Linked DNA regions of Struthio camelus. The protein of the gene in region 2 interacts with the protein of the main gene of each other region in a pairwise test. Links are inferred from orthologs where the notes say so. Each region holds a gene or a part of one and is shown on either strand. Other genes may lie near its edges.

The links. The genes of interacting proteins can lie anywhere in the genome.
Region 1: the proteins of ADAMTSL4 (region 2) and AQP1 interact in a two-hybrid assay, tested with the Homo sapiens proteins (2 studies listed by BioGRID and IntAct). The link is inferred for Struthio camelus from reciprocal best matches to the Homo sapiens genes ADAMTSL4 and AQP1.

What each region holds. Positions count from the first base shown.
Region 1 is NC_090943.1:5,168,357-5,178,374, forward strand, and holds the start of AQP1 (aquaporin-1), read right to left. Parts: upstream 4,910-10,018; 5' UTR 3,781-4,909; coding exon 3,391-3,780; intron 1-3,390. UniProt on the Homo sapiens protein: Forms a water channel that facilitates the transport of water across cell membranes, playing a crucial role in water homeostasis in various tissues.
Region 2 is NC_090971.1:2,661,953-2,671,632, forward strand, and holds the start of ADAMTSL4 (ADAMTS-like protein 4), read right to left. Parts: upstream 5,693-9,680; 5' UTR 5,616-5,692; intron 3,873-5,615; 5' UTR 3,794-3,872; intron 2,999-3,793; 5' UTR 2,952-2,998; intron 610-2,951; 5' UTR 517-609; coding exon 485-516; intron 1-484. Other genes in the region: ECM1 (extracellular matrix protein 1), read right to left, coding at 7,219-7,395, 7,477-7,564, 7,874-8,094, 8,206-8,589, 8,699-8,994, 9,268-9,351. UniProt on the Homo sapiens protein: Positive regulation of apoptosis. May facilitate FBN1 microfibril biogenesis.

The sequences.
Region 1 (10,018 bases), on a different chromosome or scaffold from region 2:
TTGGGTACATAACAGAGGCTCCCAAGCCTGAAGCCTCATCATCCCGAGTTCCTTCTCTAGTTCAGGAATAGAGCAGGGTGTCTCTGGAAGACAACTTAAAGGATCTAAGAGCTGAATTACTTCTCTTTTTCTCTCCTTCTCTGCGAACTAAAGAGGAACCTACGGAAATGAGGTTCCTCACTTTGGCCCCTCAGTACACGGCTCACAGCTGGGCAGGATAAATCTAAGCATAGGCATGGAATTTGCCATAGCATCCCGTGGGGACGCCGGATAGCCACTGAATCCACGAAATTGCTCCCACCATGTTTTTCCTGTAAGAAACCCCAAGTCCAAGACCATGGCAGGATCAGAACAGAAAATACTGTCTTGCATGTCCAAACCCTCTTCCCAGCTCTGCCAAAAGCCAGCGCTTCCTTTCTTTCTATTTTCTTTCTCAAGAGTGAATATGCCCCTTGCTTTCACCAGAGGATAAGTAGCCAAAGTAGCTGGCAGGAAGGCCAGCCCTGTCCCTCCCCTCCTTGTCCTCAGGTTGAAGAGTGTTGAATTAAAGCAAATCTCTGTGGTTTCTCCTTATCTCCTGTTTGCTGAAGGAGGCAGCATGCTCATAGTGCCAGACTAAGATTTCAGGATATGCCCCTTTATGATTGGTTCTGCACAAGCACAACTGTTCTGCTGTTCTCCCCCGCGCTGGGCTCAACTTCCCTCAACCCTCATCTCCCCCTCCCCAGTCAATCCCAGCCTGTCAGTGGGAATTGAATATATTTGTTTTCTTCTCTAGTTCCTTCTTGCAAGGGAAAACAGCAGCTGTTGCCCTCCCCATCTCCTGGGAGATCCCTCCACTGCTATTCTTGCCAGAACACTTAGAACTGGATGGGAAAGAGAAAAAATATATATATTTCTTCTGAATATTTGACAATGACAAGCACAGAAACCAGGGCTTGTCATAACATTCGGGAACCACTTTATACAGTCTGATTAATTTACCTAGAGAAATGGTTACCAGATTTGCAATGCAGTTGTGATGGAGACTTAAAATGTCACTTTTCTCCCATCATGGATTTTTATGGTCTTGGAAAGGATGGATTCCATTGTATTCACAGAGTTCCCGGGGGAGGGAGTAAGGCTTCCATCTCAAGATGCAATTTGTGAGGTTCATTTGTGAGGTCTCCTAACCTTACCAAAATCAGTGACAAAACACCTACCGAGTTCAAGAAGAGGAGCATTCCCCCCACACAGGTTTTCTCCACAGAACTAGGTAGTGTTCAGGAGTGGCCTGGTCAAAGGGCAAATCTGGCTTCACTGAAGTGATAAATAAATAAATTACCCCCTTAGCTCCGTGGTGTGTTCTGCGCTCTCCAAAGGGAGAGACCCTTATGCCACAGTTTCCCCTTGAGAGTGGACCCTCTTTGTTTTATTATCTGCCACAGGTTTTCTCTCCACTCTTTTCCTGAATTTTTTTCCACCTGCCTCTGTAGCTTCTTCGCTTCTGAGACATCCTTGTGCAAAGCTCTAGATAACATCGCCGTAACGTGGAGAGTTACCAGCTCAGGGTCAAGAAAAGTTTCGGGTGATCACGTACACCCACTTTGCAAGTGGCCAGTTTCAGGGCTTTAGGATAGAGGAAGAAGCCAGTCATCCACGTTTTGTGGCAGGCAAACGGGGAAGACCGAATGACAGTGCTACTGAAACCAGACCTCCCGTGTTTAATAGCAGCTGGCAGTCAGACCTCTCTAGGAAACCACTTGGGCGGATACCCTGTCCCATGTGGTTAAGCAGCTCCCTCTGCCAGTGGTTTCAGAGGGAGAGATCACATACCATATGCACAGCCAGAGCCTTCTGGAGTTAATAAAAAGCTTCTCTCTTCTTCCCCAGAATGTGCTGGATTAACCCTATTAAGATTTCAAAAGTGGTGGCACAAGGAGGTACCTGCAGGCACCAGACTCCGAAGAGGGAGGTAAGCACCTAACCCTCAGAGTAATGCTGAGATGGATGATACACTTTGGCTACTCAGGAATGACCTTTTTAATACCAACTTTTATTACGTTTTAAAAAATCTTCACAGTCTCACTTTTGGAGTTAACTATAACGGCATAGCATGCTAAAACATGTTACCCTATTTGTGCATTTAACTTTTGTTTATTTTTTCTTCCCCTTTTGCCCAAATGATTTATGAAGAGACCTTTGATTTGGAGCTTTAGGTCCCAAATATCCCTACGACTTCAACTGGACATAATATTTCAAATAGGTTCAAGTCCCAGACTGCAGCCAGAAATAGTCTGCAAGAGAGGGGCCACGGAAAAGATGTGATATATTTGTCCTTAACAGCATCAGGTGAGAAAAGTGACTAGAAGGGAATTTCCACTTATAATACTCCTCTTTGGATTGTGACCCAAATATTTGTGGCTGTGGGACTGCCTCTGACAATGGGATGATTTAATGTTTAAAAAGTGTATCTATCCTTTTCACGGCTGCTATGCTAAAATAAGAACAATAAAATGACAGCAATTTTTAGAGGGAACAGTTGCAGCCAAGCACTGAAATATTCAAAGTACTTTTTATGCAATGCGACTGTTAATAGCTGTGAGCAGCAGGCTAGAAGAGGGCTGAAACCTTCATCCCTGTTAAATGTCATTGCCTCACCTCTTTCTGCAGCTTACATCTCAGAATTCAGTGTTTTCCTCATCTTTTGAATAGCAAAAGCAGGAGCACAAGGAAAGCGCAGCTGTCATTGTGTCAGGCAGGAACTGAGCCTAATGCAACAGGTAATGCTCACAGCTTCCTCTTGCTACACATCCCTCTCTGTGTCTTTTTCCATAGGTTCTTACATTGCAGTCATCATCAGGCTACAGAAATCATTAATTAGGTATTGAAAAAAGAACCACATTCACACATGGGAAAACAACATCGCTGTATGCACATTCATCAGCATCGCAAGTCGCAGGCATGTTATCTGAGACCTTTAGCACCATCACAGGGATCGACCTCGCAACTGGCAGTGATTTCAATGCTAAATTGGCATCAAAAGGCGACTTTTATCAACGCAGAGATACAAAACTAAACATGAGCAAAACTGGTCGTGACCACAGTGTCCTCTAGCTTTAGAAAGGGGGTGGGGAGAAGGGACCTTCTCTACGACATCTCTTGCAAAGGAAAAGGATTAATAAAGTGCTTAAGCTGACAGCACAGGGTACCTATATCCTAGATTCACCCTGGCGTCAATCAGTCAGGACTGGATCCCCCCCCTAAACTGAGCCATTGGCTGAGTGAAGCTACCATCGCCCTCTACATACGCACACACACACCCACACGCACCCCCTTAGTAGCTTGCTGGTGTTACCCTCACATTTCTACATTAAAAATGAAGGAGGAATCAAAAGTTTCTCTGCTTACCGCGTTGAGCCCCAGGAGGTTGTTTGGGAGAGACGAGGTGACTCCCGAGAGGATCGCGGTGGCCACCACTGCCCCCAGGCACTGAGCGATGATGTACATGAGCGCCTTGAAGATGCTGATCTGGCAGCTCAGCAGAAGGCCCAGGGTCACCGCGGGGTTCAGGTGGGCACCGCTGATGTGGCCCACGCTTTGTGCCATGGTAGCAATGGATAACCCAAAAGCCAGCGAGACCTTCACGTTGTCTTGAGACCTTGTGGACGTTTTGTTGCCCACAACCGGGAAACTAAAACCCAGAGCCGAGCCAATGCTGATAAAAATAAAGAGGCTCATGGCAAAGAACTCAGCCACCACCGCCCTCCAGAACATTTTCTTTTTGAATTCACTAGCCATCTTTCCCTTCCCTCGCTCTCTCTCTCTCTCTCGCACTTTCCCTTCTTCTCCCTCTCTCCCTTCTTCTGCTTGATATTTTCCCTTTGAGGTCTGAAGAGAAATCTGGAGAAAAAATAGAGTTCTTGGATTATTTATAGGGCTTTGGGTGGTCTGTAGGAGGGAAGGGGTGTTGCACAAAAGGAGGAAAGAACATCTACATAGATGCTGACTGCTAGATTGATGTAAGACACTGCATGCCTGCCAAAGTTTTTTCTTCCCCCTTTTTTTTTTTTTCCCCTTCCCTTAACAGCCTTCGATCTCTGCTGCCGTTTTTAAGAGGCTTTTTTAAAATCTTTGGAAAAGTCTTTAGGAGCACCGCAGGAATTTTACCTTCACTCGTTTGACTTCTCTATCGCCATTCAGCCCACAGACTGGGCTGAGAGCTTTTACAGGATTTCTCCCTCGTGCTGGACTAAACAAAAAGAAAAGTTATCTGTGCAGGCTGGTAAGTTGTTCATGCTCAGCTTCACCGGCAGCCGGTGACATCCGAAAGCAATAAATAAAATCAACAACTAAATCGGCGCTCCAGGGACTTAAATGACTCCGTTTCATTTGAAAACAGGTGGGAACCTCTCCTCTGCTGGCTCTGCGCAGACTTGGACGCATTTCTGATGCCAAGCCTGACAGATGTACAAACATATATGTTTACACAGACTCACACAAACAGGTCTTGACCGACTAACGGTTGCGAGTCGTTCTAATCCCTGCGACCACCGCGTAAAGCTGAAATAACTCCACTGCAGGTCAGCTGGGTGCTTCATACGCCGGCGGTTCGGACCCGAAAGAGCTGCCCTCTGCAGCTAGAGGAGGCGTTCGGGTTTGCAGAAGAGCCAGTCTGATCTAGCCCGCGTCTCCGTGCCCGGCTCCTCTCCGCCAGCGCACGGGGTTTGCATTAGCGCTAGGTCGAAGCGCAGGTTCTCTGCACCCTTTTTGCTCTGCCCTTGAGAGGTTTATGCTTAAGCGGAGGGGAAGAAATCGTGCTGAGGGACGTATGAAATGGGCATTTACTTCGTTTCTTCACTTTTTCCGCCTCCCCCCACCCCCTCCCCGTCCCAACCAGAGGCGTCTCAGGGTTTCCCTGGGCTCGCTCTCCTGCCTTCCTTCCGACCGGCAGGAAAAAAGCCAATCTGGGGGCTTCCTAACCCACATCCTGAAGTGAAAGTATAGCCTGCAGACATCCAGCGCTCCTCTCCTGAAGGTCAGCTGTCCCGGCAGTCACCAGGGAGACCGGCTGCTGCCGCCGCCGATGCACGGCACTGGCCGCAGACAGAGACACAGACTGCGGGACAAGGGAAATTACACGCTTGATTTTGCAGACAAAATGAATCTCCCAGCAGTGCCAGAGCGTCTCGAAGAGCAAAAGGTCTAACCTCTTCTGATGTTATCGCAGCAAGGTTTGTATACATGCCTTAGGTTAACCCCTGCGTTATCAGATCTCTGCGCGCTTTCGCAGCTGGCGGTGCCTTCGCCTCAAAGTCAGAGGGTTTGCTCTGACTTCAAGGATGCACCAGATCTGATCCAGGGTCAGAAGCAAATTGCCCAGGCAAAGTCTGGAAAGCAAGATGACTATTTAAAAACAGCTTACTTCTCTCTCTCTCCTCTTCTTTCTTCTTCTTCTTGCTTTAATGCACTGGTGTCAACTTTTAAATTGTAGTTTAATTAATTCAAGGCTTTCTCACCGAGGAAGTATGTCACTATGAAGACAAAGTCAAATACACACCTGGATAGCATTAGACAGTCAAGAAGGGCTTTTAAAATATATTGAGCTTTCAATAATTTGTTCAGATGCAAAGCTGAAGACTGCTTAAGTAAAAATCTAGATGTCTGCAGCCTGTCATGCCCAAACTCTTATGCTTTCTAGTTCTCAGATGTTCTTGATTTTCCAAAATAACCACTTTTATTTCTTTGTGTTTTATAATACACTTACCCAACAGAACTGTACCAATGGGGCAAAAACAGGAAAAATCAAATAAATTAGGATATGTTAGTTATTGTCTTTTACCCTTCTAATTGCAATGGGGCTAGAATGAGGAATCGCATGCTAGACCAATAAGAAATCAAATTCTGCCCAAGACAGTGTGTCCAATTTTAATGTGAGGTACAATCACAGTCAATTAACCAAGTATTTAAATTAAGTATTTTATTCAGTGGAATTTTTATTTATTGCAAATCCATTCTCTGAAACTTGAAGAGCAGAAGTGACCAGCTTCTCCGGTCCCACCCACAGAATGGCCAAGACACAAGGCATATCTCATACCTCAGGGAACTGAGTGAGGGAAAGAAGAGCTCTATGAATAGTTTACAAGAGCAAGTACTTTCCAGGTGTCCCAAATTGGCATCCGTGGGATGGAGCTGCCTTGCCATTCTGCTGTGCCTGCAGGAAATTCCTTCTTTACTCACCTCTTCCTACAATTAGGATTTGGACTACCTAACAACCTCTGTACCGGTACTGATAAGGCAAGAAGGAATCCCTCACATGAGAAAGACAAGGCATGAGTAGAGCAGCAACGCTCTCCGCAGATTTAACCCCCTTGTGATGATTCCAGCCCTTTGACATCACGGTTTGTCCTAGGGAAATGTCTGTTCAGAAATCTCCTCCACAACGCAGTTCAGTATGGTGCTTTTCTCCAAAATGAGCTCCACCCCATTCTTTCTCAGATTAATGACAAATACCCCAGCACTTGGTCAAGTTTTCTACCCATAGACCCAGTCCCCATAAACTGCTGTGAACCAAAAAAGGGCAAAATCCAGTGTCTTGTGCAATGGATGAGCTGGGTTTGTCCAGACAGGTTTTCTAGGCATGGTTCATAGCTTATTGTCAAATCACACTTGAAGATGAGTTTCGGGGTTTTTTTGGAATTATGCAGCTAGAAATGGAGACATGACCGCCAAGCTTACACAAGTATTTAGGATAGGCAGTGAAGGGCAGGCACGTATCTGATGGGAGCTAGAGGGAGAAAGTAGCTTTTGAGCTGTGGGGTTATTCTTTACAGATGATTTAAATCACTATACACTCTTAACATTATTTATTTGCACTAGAGACAGCTGAGAGAAGAATCAACCTCACAGAAGTGGATATTTAATGGCCAGGATCCCAGGACAGACTCATTTTTCCTCTAAAACAAATCAGATTCTGAAGGGCTGCAGCACAATCCTTGCTTAACAATTCAGTCAGAAAACAAATGTACTCATTGGTTAAGTGGCAGGCTTTGTTCTGTGCTCCCACATGTCACATTGCTCACAGTCTCTCTACTATTTGAACAAGAAACAAATGTGACTACAAGTTTGGTCTTGGCTAACATGACTTCTCCGGGAATTTTCCACTTAGGTGAAGGAATAACGTTGAAGGGCAGAGGGAACGTATGTCGGTCCAGAGACCAAATGACCAGAACCAGGGGCACTTTAGCAAACTAAAATTGTTCTCTTCTTGAGAAGAATTGCAGTCATCCTGCAACTCCACCAGCCAAGTATTTTAGTAGGGTCAATCAAATGTTTTAGCATGCAAGTGGGGATTGCTAGGAATATTTTACTCACAGTTCTGGAAACACCAACAACCACTTTCCGCCTATAGATTTTCACCTCTCTGAAGCATTGCTAACTTTCTCACCACTGTGAAGAATCGTAGGTCCATGTTTTCACAGCCCAGCAATTCAGAAAAATGGAAAGAAGTTCGGCACTGTTAGCTGAAATGAAAACATTTTCCCATGTGCTCTATTCAGTGCCATCCATATAGAAAGTTGAAATTTAGAAGCTGGGTTTTCTGTGAGAAATCATGCTCTAGATCTTAATGGTAAATCACCCTTTGATGGTAAGATTTCCGTGGTTTCCACTGGGCCTAATGGAAACATAGTTATGTATTTCTTATATTCATTGAAACGATGCTTCGAGAAGACACTTAGACCCAGATTCTGTTTTAAATTACACTAGTGTTTGTCTAGGATAATGCCACTGATTTGAACAAATTTACATCACTATTATTTCAGTCAGGAGCTACTTCTTGATCTGACTCAGTTCTCTTTCTGGTTAGAAGAAGACCTCCTCCTGATTGTTATCATAACAAAGTACAAGGCAGTGATTGAGTCAATGCACAGACTCTCAGGAATCTTTCTGCAAGAGAGACACCTGAGCATAACTGGTTCACTACAGCATGACTTAGGTGTCCAAGACTGGAGGTGGTTTCACACTGAATTCCTGACTTATGATCCTAAATTCAGGAAAGAAGGAAGATTTCAGACATATTCCTCTCATATTCCTCTCATAGCATTTCCTATCAGCCGACTTGCTCAATACACCGACTGCTGGGAATGCCTTTCTTAGCTGCTCAGCTGACCCTTTTCCCTGTATGCTAAACTCACAGCCTTTAATATCCTCTTAGAGAGCTGGACATCTAAATCCCTTTGTGAGGCTGGATTTAACTCTCAAAATCTCAGCTGAGAGGATCAAAAGTTATCAATTCTGTGAATCACTGTTGTGCTGGGATCAGAGACGGTGTGTCACTCTCTAATGAGCAAGATGCAAAGGCATAGAGTCCACATGTTTAATTTTCATTTGGTATTTCATGATTCAGTAATATTCAGTAAATTTCATGATTCAGTAGGTTCTACAGACCCACTAAATTTTTTCCTGTTCTTAGATAAAAACCTGTACATTCTACCATGGTTATCTGCTTATTCTAATTTTCTTTTGATGGATTTTCTTTCCTTCTTTTTTTTTTTTTTTTAATCACTACATATGGATTTGTAAGCCTCCTTAATACAATGCCTGTTCCCAGTCATCCTTTTTTTTCTTTTCTTCCAGATCATAAGATAGTAAAGAAAAAAAGATCACAAAACAAAGAAACAAAAGCGAGAGAGAAGTTTAGCACAGAATATATGAAGCAACAAGATCTGTGACTGTATAAATGAATGAATGAAATTCAATATCGGCAGAGGTAAACCTGTTTATATCAATGACCAATTTGATCTAGACAAATAAGACGATGATTAGAAAATTATTTCCTCTTGAAGGAGGTTTCTAAGGTGTCCGAAAAGAAAATCATTCAGTAATGTCCTTGGAGAGTTTGCTTCAAATTTCATCTCCAGTTGTTTTCTCCTCTGAGAATAAAAGACTCTATTGTACACCCTGACAAAATATATAATGGAATAGTGAATGTGTTTGTATAGAAGGCTTTTTCATGGTAAGTGCAACAAAGCCACAGAGATGGCATGTATCTCACCTAACTGTAGGAATCTATCACAAAAATGTCTCCAACTAAGCTGCCGTCCTTTGGCTCACTTTTTAGTGAATGCGCAGTGCGGACATTTTCAGGATTTCTGTGATTGCACAGCTTCATTTTAGATATCTACAATTCATTGACACCGTTCCCACAGCTATTTAGGGTGCCCTGGCTGCCTAGCTCCAGAATAAACACTTACTTTCTCTGGGAATCCTAATTCTACGGCCACAAGGGCTGTACCAATCAGGTCCATCAAAGGACTGCTACTCTTTATTTAACACATCTATGATACGAAATAATAAAGATGATTGATTGTCTTCCAACTGGTAGGTAAAAGGCAATTTCCCAGGCAACTTCTAAATCAGCCTGCACCAGGAACAAGGTTTGGTAAAGGGCTGATTGTCTCGTCACCCCAAGTTCTCGGCATCATCTCTTCCAAGGAAATGGTGTTATGAGTCACAAGTGCCCGCAAGTCGTCGTGTGGAAAGGTTAGTTTCTCTGGCAATACTACCACACTAAGGGTTAAATTCTTTTTTTTTTTTTTTTTCCCCCTTAGCAAACATATTTAGCAACAATTGTCCTTTTAAGTTTCCTGTGCCCAGTGCATCACTGGGAAGTTGACCAAGTTTTTTCTTTTTCTTTTCTTTTTTTTTTCCCCTTCACATTATGTTACATAAAATGACAAGTCTGCCAGGAATACTGGGCATGACACATCCCTGACTGTGCCTTGGTAGTTCATTACGAACACAGGAGGTGAATAAACCATTGTTACTTGCGATAGGAAAGTTTTCAGTATGGATCACAGTTTGCTTCTAAATGTACAGACAAAAATCAGGGTCAGTCTTCCGCTCCCATAATTCGCGGGGCTCCACTGGAGAAATGCTGGTTATTTTGTTTTTCGGGTGCTTGTTTTGGGGAAAGGTTTTGCATGTGTATTTTTGTAAGTTTTGCTACCCAGATTTCATCATTGCTCTATGCTCTGTT
Region 2 (9,680 bases):
GGTTGGATCTGGAGATGGATGGATGGATGGCTAGATGGAGCATCTGTGGATGGATCTGGAGATGGACAGATGGGTGAATGGACCAATAGATGGAGAGTCTGAGGATGGATGGATCTGGAGATGGTCAGATGGGAGGATGGATGGATGGATGAGTAGATAGGATATCTGGGGATGGATGGCTCTAGGGAAGGACAAATGGATGGACAGTGGATAATGTATCTGGGAAGGGATGGAAGGATCTAGGGATGGATGGATGGATAGTGGAGAATAAAAGCTCACAGACACCCTGTGGTGGACCTCTGCCTACTTCACCCTCTCATCCACCCCTCTCCCTGCAACCAGCCCCCCCCCCCCCCGTGCACCACAAGGCTGGGGCGCTGGCCCTTTCCCCATGCCACCCCAAGCCAGGGGGGGGCCCATGGGGACGTGCTGGTGCGGCGGAGCCATTCCCAGCCCCCAGCTCAGCATTTCCCTCTGGTGGTACCTGCCAAGCCAGCCTGCGTGCCAAGCCCCCATGGCTCCTGGGCTCCTCTCCTCCCCAGCAGACGCTCTGACTCTCACGGACCTCGGCCAGGCTTCAGCATCGGCCCCAGACTCCAGGGACAGTCTCTGCAATTGAAGTCAAAGGAATAAATAACCCCAGCACCTGTGGGTGGCAATGCCCGTCCACCCTCAATGGGATTAAAATGAGGGGAACAGCCCCAAGACACCCCAGGGACACCAGGGTGGGACGTGGCCAGGGCTGGGGCAAAGGGACCTCCTAGCTCCTGCCAGGCGCCTGCCGGGGCCGGCCCCGGTCCCTCCCTGCCAGCCGCCAGGATGATGCTCGGATATTTTTATCTCGCCACGGTCCGGCCAGAGCCCTCCGCTGGGAGTAATAAATCACTGCTGCACCGACAGAGCGGAGCAAACCAAGGCGCCCCCAAAATCCACCCCTCCCGGCCCAAAAATAAGCCTGGCGGCTGCTCGGGGTGGGTTTTACCGTGGTGAGGAAGAGGATTAGGCATAAGCACTTGGCAACCCGACTGTGGGGCATTAAGCCCTGATAATGCCTCCCTCCTCCACTGGGGCTAATCCTGGGGAGGGGACGAGGCCACCGCGGGAAAGGGCGGCTCTGGGCAGGAGCCCGGCGAGTTAATAACGCCCAGTCCTCCACCAGCCTCGTCAGCCCGCCGCTAATTAATCCTACCCTGCTCCGGCCTCACTGCGGGGGAAACCGAGGCATGGACGGAGTCATGGAGCCATTCCTGCTCCTCGGAGGGCGGGGAGGAAATTTTAAGCCGACCTCGTCTCCCCGGTGGTCAGGTCCCACCCGCCGCTGCGGTTCACGCTTGGAAAAAACTCCCAGAAAGCTGGAAAACATCAGGCCCTACCAGGACATTTGCTTGGCACGTCCCAGAGGAGCAGCAGCGGGGCCGAGTGAGAGCCCTGCGCCGCGGCCAGAGCCGGCGGCATCGGCCCCGCCGGCCGGCCAGATGTTTTCGGGCGGTGCACAGGAGGGGAGATTTGAGGCCGGGGAGCGAACAGGCAAGCGGGGCCTTCTTGCAACGTGCCGACAAACAATGAATAAAAGCACCGCTGGGTGCCAAGACGGTGGAGGCCTGGCGAAAAAGCCGTGCAAGAGCCGGCGGGATGGAAAAGAGCCCAGTTTCCCCCTCGCCCGCCGCTCCCAGGAGCCCCCTGCTGCTGCCGCGAGCGGGATCGCGATGCTGCAGCACCCTAAAATTGCACTTTTTCCTCCCTCCCTTCCAGCCTCAGCACCAAGGGCAGAAACTAAAACCGGCGGGTGCAAAGGGCGGCTGCCCGCGGTGGCTTTTCTGCCCACCAGGCCCAGCTCTGGCTGCCGGTACAGATCCCTCTCTTCCCCCTGCAGAGATGGGCTCAGGCCAAGCCAGGACTCCTGGGTCCTCCCCTGGCTCCCGTGCCCCGTCCTGGGCCAAGATGAAGCCAGGAGCATGAGCCCAAGGAGCAAGCACCCTGCAGTCATGCTGCCACCCATGCACCGAGCATGCCAGGGCTCTGCAGCCTTGCCGGTGCCCTTCAGCATGACCTCCCAGCACTCGCACCCGCCTTTCCCGAGTTGGGGGGAGCCAGCAGTGGGGATGGAGGCCCCACAAGGGATCCTCTCCCCTTCGGAGGCCCAGATTTGGCTGCCGAACGGGCCCTGCTCAGTGCCAAGAGCCAGCGGCTGGGAAGGGCCGGCCAGAGGCACCAGCGAGGCCCCGGTTTGGTCTTGCAGGGGGAATGCAGGATTACGGCATTTTGGGCTGGGAAGCAGGTGCCAGAGGCACCTTGTACCTGAGCCAGGCCACACGGGGACATTCCTCGCCCCAAATACTGCCCCCCCACACACCCCTACAAAAAAAGCATTTTGCCAACAGTGCCCACCAACGTGCAGCTCCGCCCTGGAGCCCTTCTGCAAGGGGAGGATGCTGGGCCGGCTGTTTTGGGCGGGGGGGGAAAACACCTTTCCCAGTGCTCCCCAAGGCCAGATCTTGTTTGTCCCAGAGAAACCCCCCCCCAAAACTCCCCCTCAGACACACGTTCGGGCAGCAACCGGCTCCGGGGCCCTGTGGGGAGGCCAAAGCAACTGATGAGCAGCCCCAACGAGGGGTTTTCGGTGGTTTTGGGGGTGGTTTGGTTTTCGGGGTGGTTTTGGAGGAAATCGGCCCCCAGCAGGATCACGCCCAGCTGCAAGCATCAGCTCCCGGAGTCAAGCGAAGCCTCCAGCCGCTGTTTCCTCCCGGACCACCCGGGCAGGCAGCGAGGTCGCTGTTGCAGCAGTTTTACCTCCCCGGTCCGGGATGGAGCAGCAGTGGCAGCCAAAAGCCTTGGCTCTGGCCCCAAACGGTGCCCGGGGGCTGGCAAACCGCCTCCTTCCCTGTGCCGGCAGGAGCCTGCTCAGCTTTTCCCCTTTCCCTGTTTGATCCTCTCCCTGCACAAAGACGCACCTTTGGGCTGCCGGAGAAAAGAAACAGCCAGGTCTCCAAAAACAGCACTGGAAAAGGAGGGGAAAGAGTTGGGGGGGGGGGAGGAAGGCAGCCCGGAGGCAAAGCAGAGATCTGGGCTGCTGCTGGGATCCTTCGGCTCCGGCCGGCTCCTGCTAGCGACCGGGTCACCTTGTCCTGCCCTGCGTCTGTCCGTCCGCCTCCCCCCCCCCCCCCGCCCCAAGCCCTTTGAAATGAAGGAATTTGAAGTATTTTTGGATGCCACGGCGGAAGAGGAGAAGGGATCCGTTTGCTGTTTCCACCGGCACAAAGCAGAGCCGGAGGGGAAGCCGTCCGGAGCGACCTGCGGGCCAGGGCACGGAGAGGTCGGGATCAGGCCCGGCAGCCGCAGGAGCACGAAAGCAGCTTGCGTTAAGACGGCTGAGAAACCACTTGTTGCCTGGGCTATCTATATTTGAAAATGTGAGCAGACTGGCTGGAATATCTCCCACCCTGGTGGAGGAGGGAAAATAAAAAAAAAAAAAAAACAGGTATAAAAATACCCGGGGACTTTTCCGTGCCTCCGATGGCATGTGGAGGGCACTGCCCGACGCGCAGCCTGCCCTCCACGCCTGGGCCGTCCGGCCCACCCCCGAAAAAAGCCCTAACTGTTATATCTGTATAAATAAAGATATAAAAATAGAGCACATGGTGGCCGGTGTATCAGCAGCCGCCCAGCACATTGTTTCCGCAGCTCTGCCCTGCCCGGCAGGGATGGCTCCGGGGGGGGGAATGCAATCACAGGCAGGAGAGATGCCCTTCCCAGGGCATTTCAGCAGCCCGGAGGCCCCCCGGCCCCCCCTTACCTGCTCGCTGAACGGTCACAGCCTGAGGGGACAGGGGTGGCCGCGGGCTGGGGTCCTCCAAGCCTGGGGGCTCCCGGGGCTGCCATGAAGGAAAGGGGGGAAAAGCTGGTCCCAGGGTGGCAAAGCACGGGGGGGGGGCAGGGGGAGCCGAAGAGAGGGAGCATCCAGGCACAGAAGGATGGGGAACGGGGCAGCAAAGGGATGGAGTAGCCAGGGAAGGATGCGGACAGAGTCCTGGTGGCCAGAAACGTGGGCACCCAGCAGCCCCCCCTGGATGCCAGTTGTCCCCCCATCCAGGGATGCTGCACATGGAGCTGATGAGGGGCTGGGCTGGGGAGGGGGATGGCAGGATGAGGAAGGGGCTGCGGGCTGGGCAAGGGAACGGGGAAGGGGGCTGCAAGCAGGGGAAGGAGCTTGTGAGCTGGGGAAGGGGGTGGGGAAGGGGCTGAAGGCAGGGGAAAGGGTTTGTGACCTGGGGAAGGGGGCTGCAGGCTGGGGAAGGGGCTGCGGGATGGGGAAGGGGTTTGAGGGCTCAGAAAGGGGGTTGTGAGCTGGGAAAGAGAGTTGGGGAAGGGGCTACAGGATGGGGAAAGGGCTGAAGGCGGGGAAGAGGTTTGAGGGCTGGGAAAAGGGGCTGGGGGCTGCAGAAGGGCATAGGGAAGGGGGCTGCGGGGTGGGGAAGGGGGTTGCGGTCCAGGACCCCTGCCCACACCGCTCTCACCGTCCCGGTGCTCCAGCCCCCCCTCGGCGAGGCCGCCGCTGCGGCTGCCCCGGCCCGGTCCCCCCCGGCAGCCCGGGTGCAGGCAGCGGGGGCTGGTCAGTTTCATCCCGAACAGGGTCAATTTCAGCTCGAAATGGTCAATTTCACCCTCCCCCCCTCCCCCCCCCCCCCCGCCACTCCGAACCGGGTCAGTCCCAACCCGAAAAAGGCGAGTTTCAGCCCGAATCGAGTCGCTCCCGGCCCCGGGACCGGGTGGCCCCGGCCCGACCCCCGCCGCCAACCGCTTCGCCCCCTCCCCGGTCCCCGGTCCCCCATCCCCGGCCCGGTCCCCCTCCCCGCTCGCGGTTACCGGCCCGGCCGCCGACCCGCTCCTTCTCCGCCGCGTCGCCGATCCCGGTGCTCTTCCCCCGGTCCCGGTTCCCCGCCCCTGACCCAGCCCCGCTCCCCCCTTCCCCGGCCCGCCCCGGTCCCCGGTCCCGGTCCCCGGCTCCGCGCACCTCGCGGCCGCCCCATGGACGCCCCAGGCTCGGCACCGCTCGGCGCGGAGCGGGGGCGGCGCAGCCCCGGCCCGGCCCCCGCCCGGCCCCGGCCCCGCTGCGCTGCGCTGCGCCCGGGGGGACCGGCCGGGGGGGGGGGAGCGCTGCTGCCCCACGGCCCCGGGGGGTGCCCCCGACCCCCGCTCTGCCCCGCACCTCCGGCCCCCCCCAGCCCGATCCCTGCACCCCTGCGCCGTCCCCGAGCCTCGTGCGGGGCTCCCGGCCCGTGCCTTGTCGCCAGGCCGTCGGGGACATCCGCAGCCCCCCACCCCATAGCCACCCGCCGTCCGGCCCCGGCCCACGGTCCCGGCCGTCCCCGAGCTGTGCGCCGTCCCCAGCCCGTGCCACGTCCCCAGCCCACGGCCGTCACTGACCCAGCGGGCACCGGCCGGGCTCTCTGGTGAGGGACGAGGCTGGTGACCTCGCTGTGTCAGCGGCCCGGTGGCCAGCGGGAGGACCGGGGCGGCCACCCCTGTCCCCACCAACGCCAGCCGCGGGGCCCGGTGACAGGCCGTGGTGGCGCGCAGGCAGGGGGGCTCATCCCGGCGTCGCGTCCCCCCATTACCTCTGATCGATCCCGTCCGCAGCGGCAAGGAGCCCTGATGCATGGCGAGGGGAAACTGAGGCAAGCAGCCACAAAGGGACGCGACTTTTACCCCTCCACACCCCGCTGCGGCCCTGGGGCAAGGTGAGAGCCGGGTCTGCCCCGGTCAGGCTGCTGGAGCCCCATCCCAGGCGGAGGCAAAAAGAGGGTTGCAAAAAGGCAGGGGGGGTTCCAAAAATGATGCAAAAAGGTGCAAAAAAAGGTGGATGCCGGGGGGGGGGTGGCCCAGGGGCGCCGGATGCAGACGAGCAAACTTCAGCTGGGACCAGGGCACTGGCGCCAGCCTCGGTGGCAGCGCGATGGCAATGTCTCCCGTGCAAAACTGCGTGCCTCAGTTTCCCCCAGGGAGCAATCCCCTCTGCGGGGCTTCGCCAGGGCCCCGGCCTCGCACCGTGAAGTGCTTTTAATTGCGCCGAGCTGCTCTTGGCAGCGGCTCCAGCTGAGCAATTAGTGACTGGGACTCGACGAGGCCTCGCATGGCGGCAGCCAGGAGGTCCGCGGCAGCCGTGGGATCCCTGGGGTTACTGGGAGGCTGGGAGGGACTGGGAGGGGGGACGCGGCCGCGGCGGCTCCCGCTGTGTTGACACAAGTCCCGTCCCGTCCCACCCCCCGCTCGCTGGCTGGGGCGACGGCGCGTCTGGGACCCGGCGCCACCGCCGGCCGGGGAGGCATCGCCCTTGGAGCTGAGACCGTGCAAACTCGCTGCCACGGGAAGGGCTGGCAGCGGTCGAGGTCAGGCCGGGAACCCCGGTGTGACCTGCTCTCTTCCCGGGCGGCTCCCGTAAACACGGCCCCGGATCCGGCCACCGCCCCGGCACGCTCCCGAATTAGCACCAGGGCCCAAAAATAGCCTCCGGCCCCGCTGGGACCCCGCCAGGCACCAGGGACCCGGGGACATGGGGGGTACGGGGACGTGGGGGACACCATGGGGGACATGGGGGCATAACAGGGGCCACGGAGTCATCAGCGGGGCCATGGAGATGTGGGGGGCACGGGGACACCGCAGGGGACACTGGGACGTGGGGGGGCATAGGAAGGGGGAGACGCAGGCAGACCAGGGTGGGGGGGGACGGGGCAGCTCCACGTGCGCCCGGACCCACGGCCAGACCCGCAGCCGGACCCGCCACCCTGCGGGACTCCCACCTCCGCGGACCCCGCCCGCCTGGGTCCCTGCGGTGCCGCTGGCGCACCCCGACACGCAAACAGGCCCCGGCGCGCGGCGCACGCCTGCACGCGGCCGCACAGACGCGCACCCTGCGCGGACACACCTGCACCGCGGCCCCGGCATGCCGGGGGGGCCGAGGCACCGGGGCGGGGTGGGGGGGAACCGACGCACCTTGGGGAAACCGAGGCAGGGCTGCGGCGCGAGGGTGCAGGCGGAGCCGGGCTGTCGGGGAAAGGCTTTATTGAGCCCCAGGAGCCCGTGGCCGTCGCGGGGCAGGAGAGGGGCCGCGGTGCAGCCCCAGCCCCCCCCCCCCGGTCCCGTCATGCCCCCGGCGAGCTCGGGACGGGGTCCGCAGCCCTGCCGGGGCTCAGCATGGCCAAGGGGGGGGGGGCGGACGGTCTAATCCTGCTCCGCGGCCAGCAGCTCGGGCTCCGTCGAGGCCAGCAAGACGCTGGCCAGGTAGCTGGCGTCGAAGCACCGGCGCTGCTCCTCTGCGGTGCCGTGCGCGCAGCATCGCTTGGGGTCCTTCCACGAGTCCCGCTGCGAGGAGCAGAGGGCGGCGATGGTGCGGGATTTCTGCGGAGGAGACGGGAGGTCACGAAGGGCCCGGACGCCTGGGTCCCCCGCGTGGAGGCGGGGCGGGGGCCCTGCGCTCACCTGGTCCTCGGCGCAGGCGACGCGCTCGGCCCCGCCGCGCGGGCAGCACGCCTCCGTGATGCTCTGCACCAGGGCCGGGACCGGCTTCCTGCGGCGCCGGAGAGAACCGCCGTGAGCGGGGTAAACCCAAGGGCTGGATCCTCCCGGCGGGGGCCAGGACGCCTGGGCCCCCCGCTGCCACCCCCTAACCCCCCCCCCGGCCTGCAGTACCGCCCAGCGCCGCCGGGGGGCGGCCCAGCCCCGTATATCCCGCCCCGTCGGGGGAGCCCGGTTTGGGGGGGGGGGGGGCCGGACGCCTGGGTCCCTCTGAGCACTGCCAGCGTGGGGGATCTGGAGGAACATCCCGGAGGGGAGGAGTGGAAACGGGGCCCGGACGCCTGGGCCCGCCGGCACTCACTGCTTGGCCAGGAGGCGCGCGGGGCCGCAGAGGGCGTCGAGCAGCGCGGGGCCGAGGCGGGCCAGGCTGGCGTTGCGCAGCTCGCGGTCGTAGGCGGGATGCGGGGCCTCGCCGGCGAAGCAGCCCCAGCGGGCCGGGCCCCGGCCCCGCTTGCAGCAGCGGTGCTGCTTCGTCTTCACGCCGCTCTCCTCCTCGCAGAAACGCCCCAGCGTCTTCTGCCACTGCAAGGGGGGGGGGGGGAGAGCTGAGCATCGGCCCGGCCGCCGGCCAGGTGGGGAGGGGAGGGGAGGGGGGGGGACCCCCACCCCGGGGCGCCCTCGGCCCGGACTCACGGCGGCGCGGGCGCACTCGACGCTCTCGGCGCGGCAGCACGTCTTGTAGTCGCGCTCCAGGCGGGCCAGGGCGCGCGCTCGGCTCTTGGCGGCGCCGAAGCCGGACGGGGGGAAAGCGCCGGGGCCGTAGACGGGCCGGAATTTGCGCAGCCGGCAGATGTTACCGATGTTGGCGGCGGTGGGCTCGCCGGGGGGGAAAACGGGCTGGGGTAGGGGCGGCACGGCGGCGGCGGTGGCCGGCGGCGGCTGCAGCTCGAGCGGGGCGGGCGAAGCGGCGGCGGCGAAGCAGCGCTCGCGCTCGGCCCCTCTCCTCTTGCAGCAGTAGTAGTGCCTGGTCTTCACCCTGAACTCGTCGGCGCAGAAGTCCTCCAGCACCTCCGCCCACTGCGCAACAAAAATAATGAAAATAATGAAAAAAAGATAATATTGCAGCAAAAATGCAATAAACATAAAAATTAGCAAAAAGCCCCCCCCCCCCCCGTAGGGGACTCACCGCCTGCTGGGCGCAGGGCAGGGGCTGGGGCCGGCGGCAGCAGGCGTCGAGGCGGCCGTCGAGGCGCTGCAGCGCGTCCGCCTGGCGCCGCAGGTGGGAGAAGCCGGTGCGGGGCAGGTCGCCCAAGGCGTCCCGGGGCCGGGGCCGGCGGCACAGGTCGGCGATGGTGGCGGCCGCGGGGCGCCCGGGGGGGAAGTCCTCCAGGTCGCTGCCCCAGCGCTCCGGGGACGATGCCGACGGCGCCGGGGAGCGCAGCACGGGCAGCACCAGCTCCCGCTCCTGCTGCAGCACCGGGGCTGCGGGACGAGCAGGGTCACGGCGGGGCGCCCGCGGTCCCGTCCCGGGGCTGGGGGCGGGGGGGGATTTCCCTGCCTCCCACCCGGGACACACGTCCTTGCAGCCCTGCTGGATGCGTCCCCCTCGCCCCGTCCCTCCGCCCCCATCCCTGGGGCACGCGTCCGGGGAGGGGGGGGGGTCACATCCCCCGGGGGGGGGGACAGGACGCGTCGCCCACCCTTTCCCAGGGGTCACATCCCCGCGTCCCCCCACCCACCACCCCCGGGGCTCACCTTGCTCCAGGTCCTCGAGCCGCAGCAGCAGCCCCACCTGGGCCGGGGGCTCGCGGGGCCCCGCGGCCGCCTCGGCGCCGGCACCTGGGCGCGGGGACGGCGCAGGGTGAGCGGACCCGGGCGGGGGGGAACCGTGCCCCCCCCACCACCACCGCATGCACCCGGACCCGCCGGGAGGAAGAGGAGGAAGGAAGGGGCGCGAGGCCGAGGGTCGGTCGCCCCGCGGGGCCATGCCCCGCGGCCCTGAGTCACTTCCCAGGGCCGGGCCTCAGTTTCCCCCGCCTGAGACCTGGCCAACTCGTTCCACCCGTCCCAGCTCGTTTCAGCCGCCGGCAGCGCTACCCCTGACCCGGTGCCTCCCTCAGAGCCCCCCCCCCCCTTAGGGACCCAGGCATCCGGGGCGCAGGAGCCGG